Yarrowia lipolytica: one gene and its partners. The protein of the gene in region 1 binds, or shares a complex with, the protein of each later gene. Links are inferred from orthologs where the notes say so. Each region holds a gene or a part of one and is shown on either strand. Other genes may lie near its edges.

What was found.
Region 2: the proteins of YALI1_F13046g (region 1) and YALI1_E02372g are in contact, whole or in part, in a crystal structure (PDB 4WW7), measured with the Saccharomyces cerevisiae proteins. The link is inferred for Yarrowia lipolytica from reciprocal best matches to the Saccharomyces cerevisiae genes BUD32 and CGI121. Residues at the interface, in NP_011778.1 of Saccharomyces cerevisiae: Tyr12, Leu13, Thr14, Asp16, Val17, Thr35, His36, Pro37, Tyr38, Leu39, Pro40, Ser77, Arg78, Ala81, Tyr84, Leu85, Pro87, Val91, Pro92, Gln93, Leu94, Ile95, Ala96, Cys97, Asp98, Pro99, Tyr100, Asn101, Trp105, Glu107; in NP_013676.2 of Saccharomyces cerevisiae: Ser4, Ile6, Pro7, Gln8, Pro10, Gly50, Glu51, Tyr54, Ser55, Tyr58, Lys59, Ile62, Glu63, Tyr66, Asn67, Asp159, Phe160, Gly167, Arg170, Ala171, Val173, Asp174, Gln177, Leu178.
Region 3: YALI1_F13046g (region 1) and YALI1_F28212g share a complex: the UniProt entries of both Saccharomyces cerevisiae proteins name them as parts of the EKC/KEOPS complex. The link is inferred for Yarrowia lipolytica from reciprocal best matches to the Saccharomyces cerevisiae genes BUD32 and PCC1.

What each region holds. Positions count from the first base shown.
Region 1 is NC_090775.1:1,303,843-1,306,040, forward strand, and holds YALI1_F13046g (uncharacterized protein), read left to right. Parts: upstream 1-829; coding exon 830-1,576; downstream 1,577-2,198. Other genes in the region: YALI1_F13039g (uncharacterized protein), read right to left, coding at 1-137; YALI1_F13072g (uncharacterized protein), read right to left, coding at 1,753-2,198. UniProt on the Saccharomyces cerevisiae protein: Component of the EKC/KEOPS complex that is required for the formation of a threonylcarbamoyl group on adenosine at position 37 (t(6)A37) in tRNAs that read codons beginning with adenine.
Region 2 is NC_090774.1:236,085-238,073, forward strand, and holds YALI1_E02372g (uncharacterized protein), read right to left. Parts: upstream 1,163-1,989; coding exon 653-1,162; downstream 1-652. Other genes in the region: YALI1_E02355g (uncharacterized protein), read left to right, coding at 1-459; YALI1_E02377g (uncharacterized protein), read left to right, coding at 1,635-1,989. UniProt on the Saccharomyces cerevisiae protein: Component of the EKC/KEOPS complex that is required for the formation of a threonylcarbamoyl group on adenosine at position 37 (t(6)A37) in tRNAs that read codons beginning with adenine.
Region 3 is NC_090775.1:2,820,320-2,822,756, forward strand, and holds YALI1_F28212g (uncharacterized protein), read right to left. Parts: upstream 998-2,437; coding exon 978-997; intron 920-977; coding exon 673-919; downstream 1-672. Other genes in the region: YALI1_F28222g (uncharacterized protein), read left to right, coding at 1,947-2,437. UniProt on the Saccharomyces cerevisiae protein: Component of the EKC/KEOPS complex that is required for the formation of a threonylcarbamoyl group on adenosine at position 37 (t(6)A37) in tRNAs that read codons beginning with adenine.

The DNA of each region.
Region 1 (2,198 bases):
GTTTTGAGAGATTCGATTCCGACCGGAGAATGCTGCAGAAGAGGCACAAAAACAGCATTGTGACCCTTCTGCTCGACAAACAGCTCCTGGTAGAAATCTCGCGGCGTCGTAGGGTTCTTGAGCAGTAGGATGTTCATGATTTCCCGGGGTTGCGTGTAGCTGTAGAGAGATAGAGCTGAGTCAGATCTGGGGTCTGCATGCTGATGATCTCAAGTCACGTGATACAAATCTACGTATATCTGGAGATGGTGGATTGTGGGCGAAAAACGAAAGGGGAAATGGGCTAAGAGCACGCTGTTGCTCCTTAGGACATTTTTCACCGTTCTATGAAACTGGACATTGTCATTGGATGGTGGAAAGTGTGTGTACAATGTTAGGGTGAAACTTCTGATTCTTGTAGCACTTTTGGGAACAGGAGAGGCACTGAAAGATGGTATATTTGGCTGTGAAGACCTATTAGTGAATACATGATCATATTGGATATATCATTCTGATTCGATTAATGTTGAAAAACAGTCATTTTGAGGCTTCTTCACACCCAAATAGTTGTTGTCGTCAGGAGAAAAATGGTCAACTAAACTCAAGTATATTATAGAGTAACTTCAAGTAAGAACATGTCCACTCCATATATCCCCCTGGGGAGATAAATAATACAATAAAACCTGATGATATCAAAAAATCCAACATTACCTATATCCATTTGCAACTCTTCTCTCATCTCCCCTATACCCCATTTTACACCGGTCTAAATTCTCTCTGATCACATGACTGGAAATAAATTGTATCAAGCTGCATATCGTCTCCTAGCCTTAACCACCACCACCACATCATGATCACACTTCCAGAGCAGCTGGAGAAGCTGTCCAAGCAGGAAAATCTCATTGCACAAGGCGCTGAGTCGTTGGTGTATTCCGCCCAGCACCCCTACCTCCCCCAACAAGAATGCATCGTTAAATACAGACCCAAGAAGCCATATCGTCTTCCGGAACTTGATGCCCAGCTCAGCAAACACAGAACGCTGGCCGAGGCCCGGGTGTTGCAGAAGCTGGCTCTTGGAGACGTGGAAGTGCCCCATCTGGTCTTCATCGATGCCAAAAACGGACTCATCTACATGGAGAAGATCGAAGGTCTGAGTGTGAAGCAGTGGATCTGGAACGAGGAGGGAGACACCGAAGGAGGGGCCCAGGAGGCCGGAGATAAGAGCAGATCGTTACCGGATGGTGACGTGTCTTCTCTGAAGGACACCCTGGTTCTTGTCGGCCAAGAAATCGGCAAGTTGCATAAATCTGACATTGTCCATGGCGATCTGACCACTTCGAACGTCATGTTGAGAGACGGCAAGCCTGTCATCATCGACTTTGGACTCGCTTCCGTGTCCACTCTGGCCGAAGATAAGGCTGTGGATCTATATGTCATGGAGCGAGCCGTTCTCAGTACTCATCCTGTCCACAGTCAACAGTACTGCGACTGGTTGTTTGAAGGATACCTGGCTGTTGTCGGCAAGAGTCAGAAAGAGGTGATGCGAAAACTGGAGGATGTTCGACAGCGAGGACGAAAGCGGTCCATGCTAGGTTGAAGTGACGACTGCGTAATGAATTATGTACGAAAATCACAACAAAACCATACCTAACATGAATATTGATTGTATATCAGATATTGTACCATCGAAAGATGTTCGGAATTAGCATTCACACACTGCACAGACACATCGTCTTCCCGCTATTAGGTAATATACATTATGCTATAAGTTATCTACAACAATCCCTGACGCTTGAGATCCTCGTAGGTCTTCTCACTCATGGCGTTTCCATCGCTATCCTCCACCTCGACAATGTTTTCTTCTCGAGTCTCCACCGTCTTGAGCTGTTTCTTCATTCGGTCCCACAATGCATTGGCCTCCTCAATCTTGGTGATGCCTTTAAATGCCTGAGACGGCTCGATACCAAGACATCGGAGTCCAAAGATGTGTCTGGGTGTGGAAAAGTGCTTGTCAAAGATCTTTCGGCCCCGGTAGGTGGTATTTCCACAGATCTCACATGTGTACTCAATTCCCAAACCATGCAACTTATACAGCCAGAAAGGAATGGGTTTTCCGTCCCACCCAAGAGGCAGCTTGAGAGGGTTGGAGATGACCTCATCTTCGTCTTCGTCATCTTCATCTCCAGTCTTTTGTTTCTTGGACCAGGGGGAGCCATCGC
Region 2 (1,989 bases), on another chromosome or scaffold:
GCCACTTCCAACAAGGATGCCTCTTCCATCGAGCAGAATGTCCAGAAGACAGCTCTCAAACGATCCTCAGCTCGAACAGTCAACTTCCAACCCATGCCTACATCTCGGTACTTTGAGAAGGTCAAGAAGGAAAGCTCGAAGCCCGAGACGCCCTTCACACCCTTCAACGGTGACAGGCAGATTCCCGCGCTGTTTGAGGTACAGGACCATTACGACGACAAGGTCATCGAGCCTCTGGCCCATGACATTCAGCATCAGGCCGGAGGTTTCACTCTCAAGGCAGCATACGCAAGAATTCTCCAACAGGCCTTTTTTGGTCTAGGTGTGGATGTTCAGACCGAGCTGTTGGCTGAAGAGAATGGCAACAGCAACGGCACAGCAGTACCTGTCAAGACAGAAGAAGACCCGGTCAAGCTGGAAGAGCCATCGATACAGGTCAAGGTGGAATCCACGGTATAACAACAGTATTTATATGCATTATATTTGAACAACAATGAAGTATTTATGACTTGTGTATACTACTTGTAGCAGGTAATTGTACTTATAGCCACGGTACCTGTACAGTAATCAGCTAATAGAATGGTGTTTATACAATGCATTTGTTATGGTTGCCCAAGTTTGTTTTCATAAATACGACCGTCCGCGGCTCCATCTAGCTGAATCCACGTAGCAGAAGAGCTCCAATGGCTGCAGTCTCCACCTGAGCTCTATCATCTAGAGAGACTGTTCCTGGTAACTTGTATACCTTCTTGACGAGCTTGATATCTGTGTTCTTGGCAATCTGCTCGTCAGTAAAGGGCTCTTCGGTTCCCTCAACCAGCTTCGTGTACTCTCCTCCGCCAATCTTGACAGCCACAATGTTTGTGGTATCGTCCTGAATTCCAAATCTCCTTAGAGAGTCCATGATGTTGTTATTCCCTCCCAGACAGAACAGCACCTCTGAGTGTACGTTTTTTGTCTTCATGGAGCCGGCTTCCTGATCGGAAACGGCTCTGTAGACGGCTGCGAGCAGATGCTTGGACGAAAGCAATGTGTTGGCATTAATGAAAGCCACCTGGTAGTCGGGGTTACCGCTTAACAGCTCGTTTCGAATCTGGCCGGCATTCTTGACGTCTGAAAAGTAGGAGATGGCAATCTCCTGGTCGAACTGGGGAAACTTCATGTTGTGGCAGTGAATCACACGATCTGACTAACGTAATGCTTTTGAAGAGTTCGGGTATAGGATAGTCTGGAATTTGATACTCAGCTGTGTGGATTCCAGATACTGGTACTCGTAGGATTTTCCTGCAGATGGTGGAAGATAAACTTCGGAGGTCTTACCACAAGTAAGACGGTGGTTGGTACGTGGGATATATGTGCTGTATTGTGAAAGAAGGGGTTCTACAGACAGCGATTGTTTATGAAACATTCCAGTTGATTTATTAAGCAGCACAAATTTCAAAATTTGCCTCAACTATTGACAGGTATCATTCTACTTGTACAAGTACGTAATGTACAATCATCCTGCCACCACTCCTTCACTCTCCTATTAATAACTCTATCTTCGGTGCTGCATACATCTCCCAGTTGGATACATAAACAGCATCCATCTAAACACCTCAGCACCAATTGTATAATGATTTCTCCAGGTGAGTATGCCAGAGATCCCCGTAAGAAGCCCACTAACGCCAGTTAAAACCTCCGTGGCTTCTCCGGCCACCACCAAGGGAGTTGCCGTGCATCTCTCCTACAACCCCAAGACCAACGAGGTGGCTTACGCCAACACCAAGGCAGTGCTTCTGGTGAATCTCGACAAGCCCAACGAGGCTCGGCAGTTCAATGGCCACATTGCGCCAACCACCGTCGCCAAGTTCTCTCCTTCAGGCTTCTATGTCTGCTCCGGCGATCAGGCTGGCAACGTCAAGGTCTGGGACCCTGTCTCTTTCAACATCAAGTACGAAGCCAAGATCGGCAATGGTCGAATCAACGATCTCAACTGGGATGCTGACT
Region 3 (2,437 bases), about 1.5 Mb from region 1:
GTGCAATATTTCCGTCTTGGCTGCTGCTGGTCGTAATGTACGTATGCTGAGTGATATAAATTACCTTAGTTAGGATTACATACACAACTGCGCTTACGATTGCTTAGTCAGTTGGGACGCCCACAAAGGGAAGGCCGTAATTTCTGTGAAATTGCCACCGTAAATTAGTCTACAGTAACAATCTCAATTAGTCTTGGAGACGGCGTTGGTCATTATGCTTTAAAATGAGTAACAAGAATGGCCTCCCTGTCTGATCAGTTCTTGAGACATGGCTGCAATGAGATCTGCGTCTTCCTCACCTATCTCAGGTGGCATGCAACATGACAATGCTCACTCACACACGACATACCTGTACTTGTTTTTGTTAACGGTTCTACACCATTGGTCCTTGATATCACACCCGAACTAGCTGATTATTTGATGTTTATTGGTTTTACACGTTTGCCTTTTCTGGTTCGCAGGTTTGCCTCTGGTGCCGTCCAGGGACAGTTACAACTGCTGCAAATCTAGGGAAATTTATTCAGACATCGGCGTTTGTGTGATGACTAATCAGTTGCTAGGGAAATGATCACACTCTGTCCAGATATTGAGGTGCCAGTATGCCAGCTTGACACCGCCGTGCCCCTCCTGCGGCCTCATAAGTGCCCTCCATCTTCACTCGCTATCTCTCACTTATGGTCCAAACTTGTCGAGATCCAGCTCGTCCAAACACTCAATGGCAGTGCCAATGTTGTCCATCATGTTGTTGACACCGACTCGCAAAGACCGGTTAGATGCAGCGGCAAAATGAATCAACAGACTGGAACCCTTGGTGGTCAACTCATGGCTCAGCTCGTCGGCCTTGAGAGGCTTGTCCTGAGATATTGTGGTGCAGACAATCTGAGCCTGTCTGTCATTGGGGAACGGAATCTCCACGTCACTGTGTTAGTTCGTGTCCAAAGCGAGTGTTGTGGCTTCCCCCACATTCTCCTACTCACAGTGTGTATTTGCCTGGCATGGTTGATATTGGTGTGAAACGTTTCTACGGTTGCATGTAGGTCCTGAACTTTGTTGGATTGTGACTAAGATGTGATTAAATGTGATTAAATGTGATTAAATGTGATTAAATGTGGAATAAGATGGATAGATCAGAGAACAATACGAGAGCCGTTGAAATGGATATTTCATTGCATATTACTAATCCAATCATGTGCTCCAAGTGTGAGTCGTTCGATTTATAAAACTTGAAGCCTATGAGCTTCCACGTGCTCTTATCACCCCCAATAGTCTTACGCTTGCTTTCGGACCTTTAAAACCGGCTGTAGACTTTTGGTAAACTTGATATCCGGGGATACTTGGGGATCGTCTCTTGGAAGAGTCCTTGCCTGGGTACCGGTACTTGTAGCTGAGAGAAACAAGAGCAATAGAGCAATACTGTCATTGCATTGTGAGGCTTGCAACCAGAGGCATATAAATGGTTTCTTCTCTGAGTACTCTTACGAGAGATAAAAAATGGCTTTCAACGAGATACTGTAAGGGTACTGTAACAAGCTGTTTCGTAGAGACTCTACAAGAAACCACCTTGTAAAGCCCGCTGATGTAGTACATACATAATAAATGTATTTTTCACCAAATTGCAGCAGAGTTTAGGCCTTTCAGAAACCCCGATTCGGTCGTATGATACGAGACGAAGGTTTCGTTGTCGGCTGAGAGATGCTCGACATTGAACAGACACTGAAACTGCTCAATTACGAGTACTCGTACTAGTATACAAGAAACGGACACTTTGTCCCCATTTCATACAAGTCACCCTCGGTCTCTCAGGGACAGCCTTGCGCGGCGTAGTCATCTGATCTTCATGTTATTTGACTCGTTTGTCGATCTAAACAGAGTAGGGTTGCACAGTAGATACTTCTACATTATCTACGAGCATCCGAGAGTAAGAAGTAGAGTTATAAATTAAATTAATGGAATCGTCGGGTATCTGTCGCTTAGTTGTTAGCGGCAGAGAAGTAAGCCTGATCAAGTCGGTTAGAGGCGGACTTCATGGAAGAAGTCTCGGAGTGCATCCAGGGGAAGAGGTTGGCAATAGAGCCAATGAACTGCTTGATAAAGTCAAGGAAGTTGCCGAAGAGGCTCCTGAAGACGTCACCAATAGTGGAGATGGGACCGTCAGTGAACAGAGAGATAATAGTGATGGCAATCTGCTGCATCACCTTGGCGAAGCCCTCGGAAAGGGGGTTGATGATGAGAGGGCCAAGGGTCTTGGCGACGTCACCGACAATGGGCAGAGTCTTGAGGTCGTCAATCAGAGTGGGGAAGAGGTTGTTGATCTGGGTGACACCCTTCTGCAGGTTGTCGTAGACGGTGCCCTTGGACTTGTCGGGGTGAGTGATGATGTCAAGGGTAGAGGTGACAGTCTTGAGGACGACTCCACCGAAATCAATGAAGTCGTCAA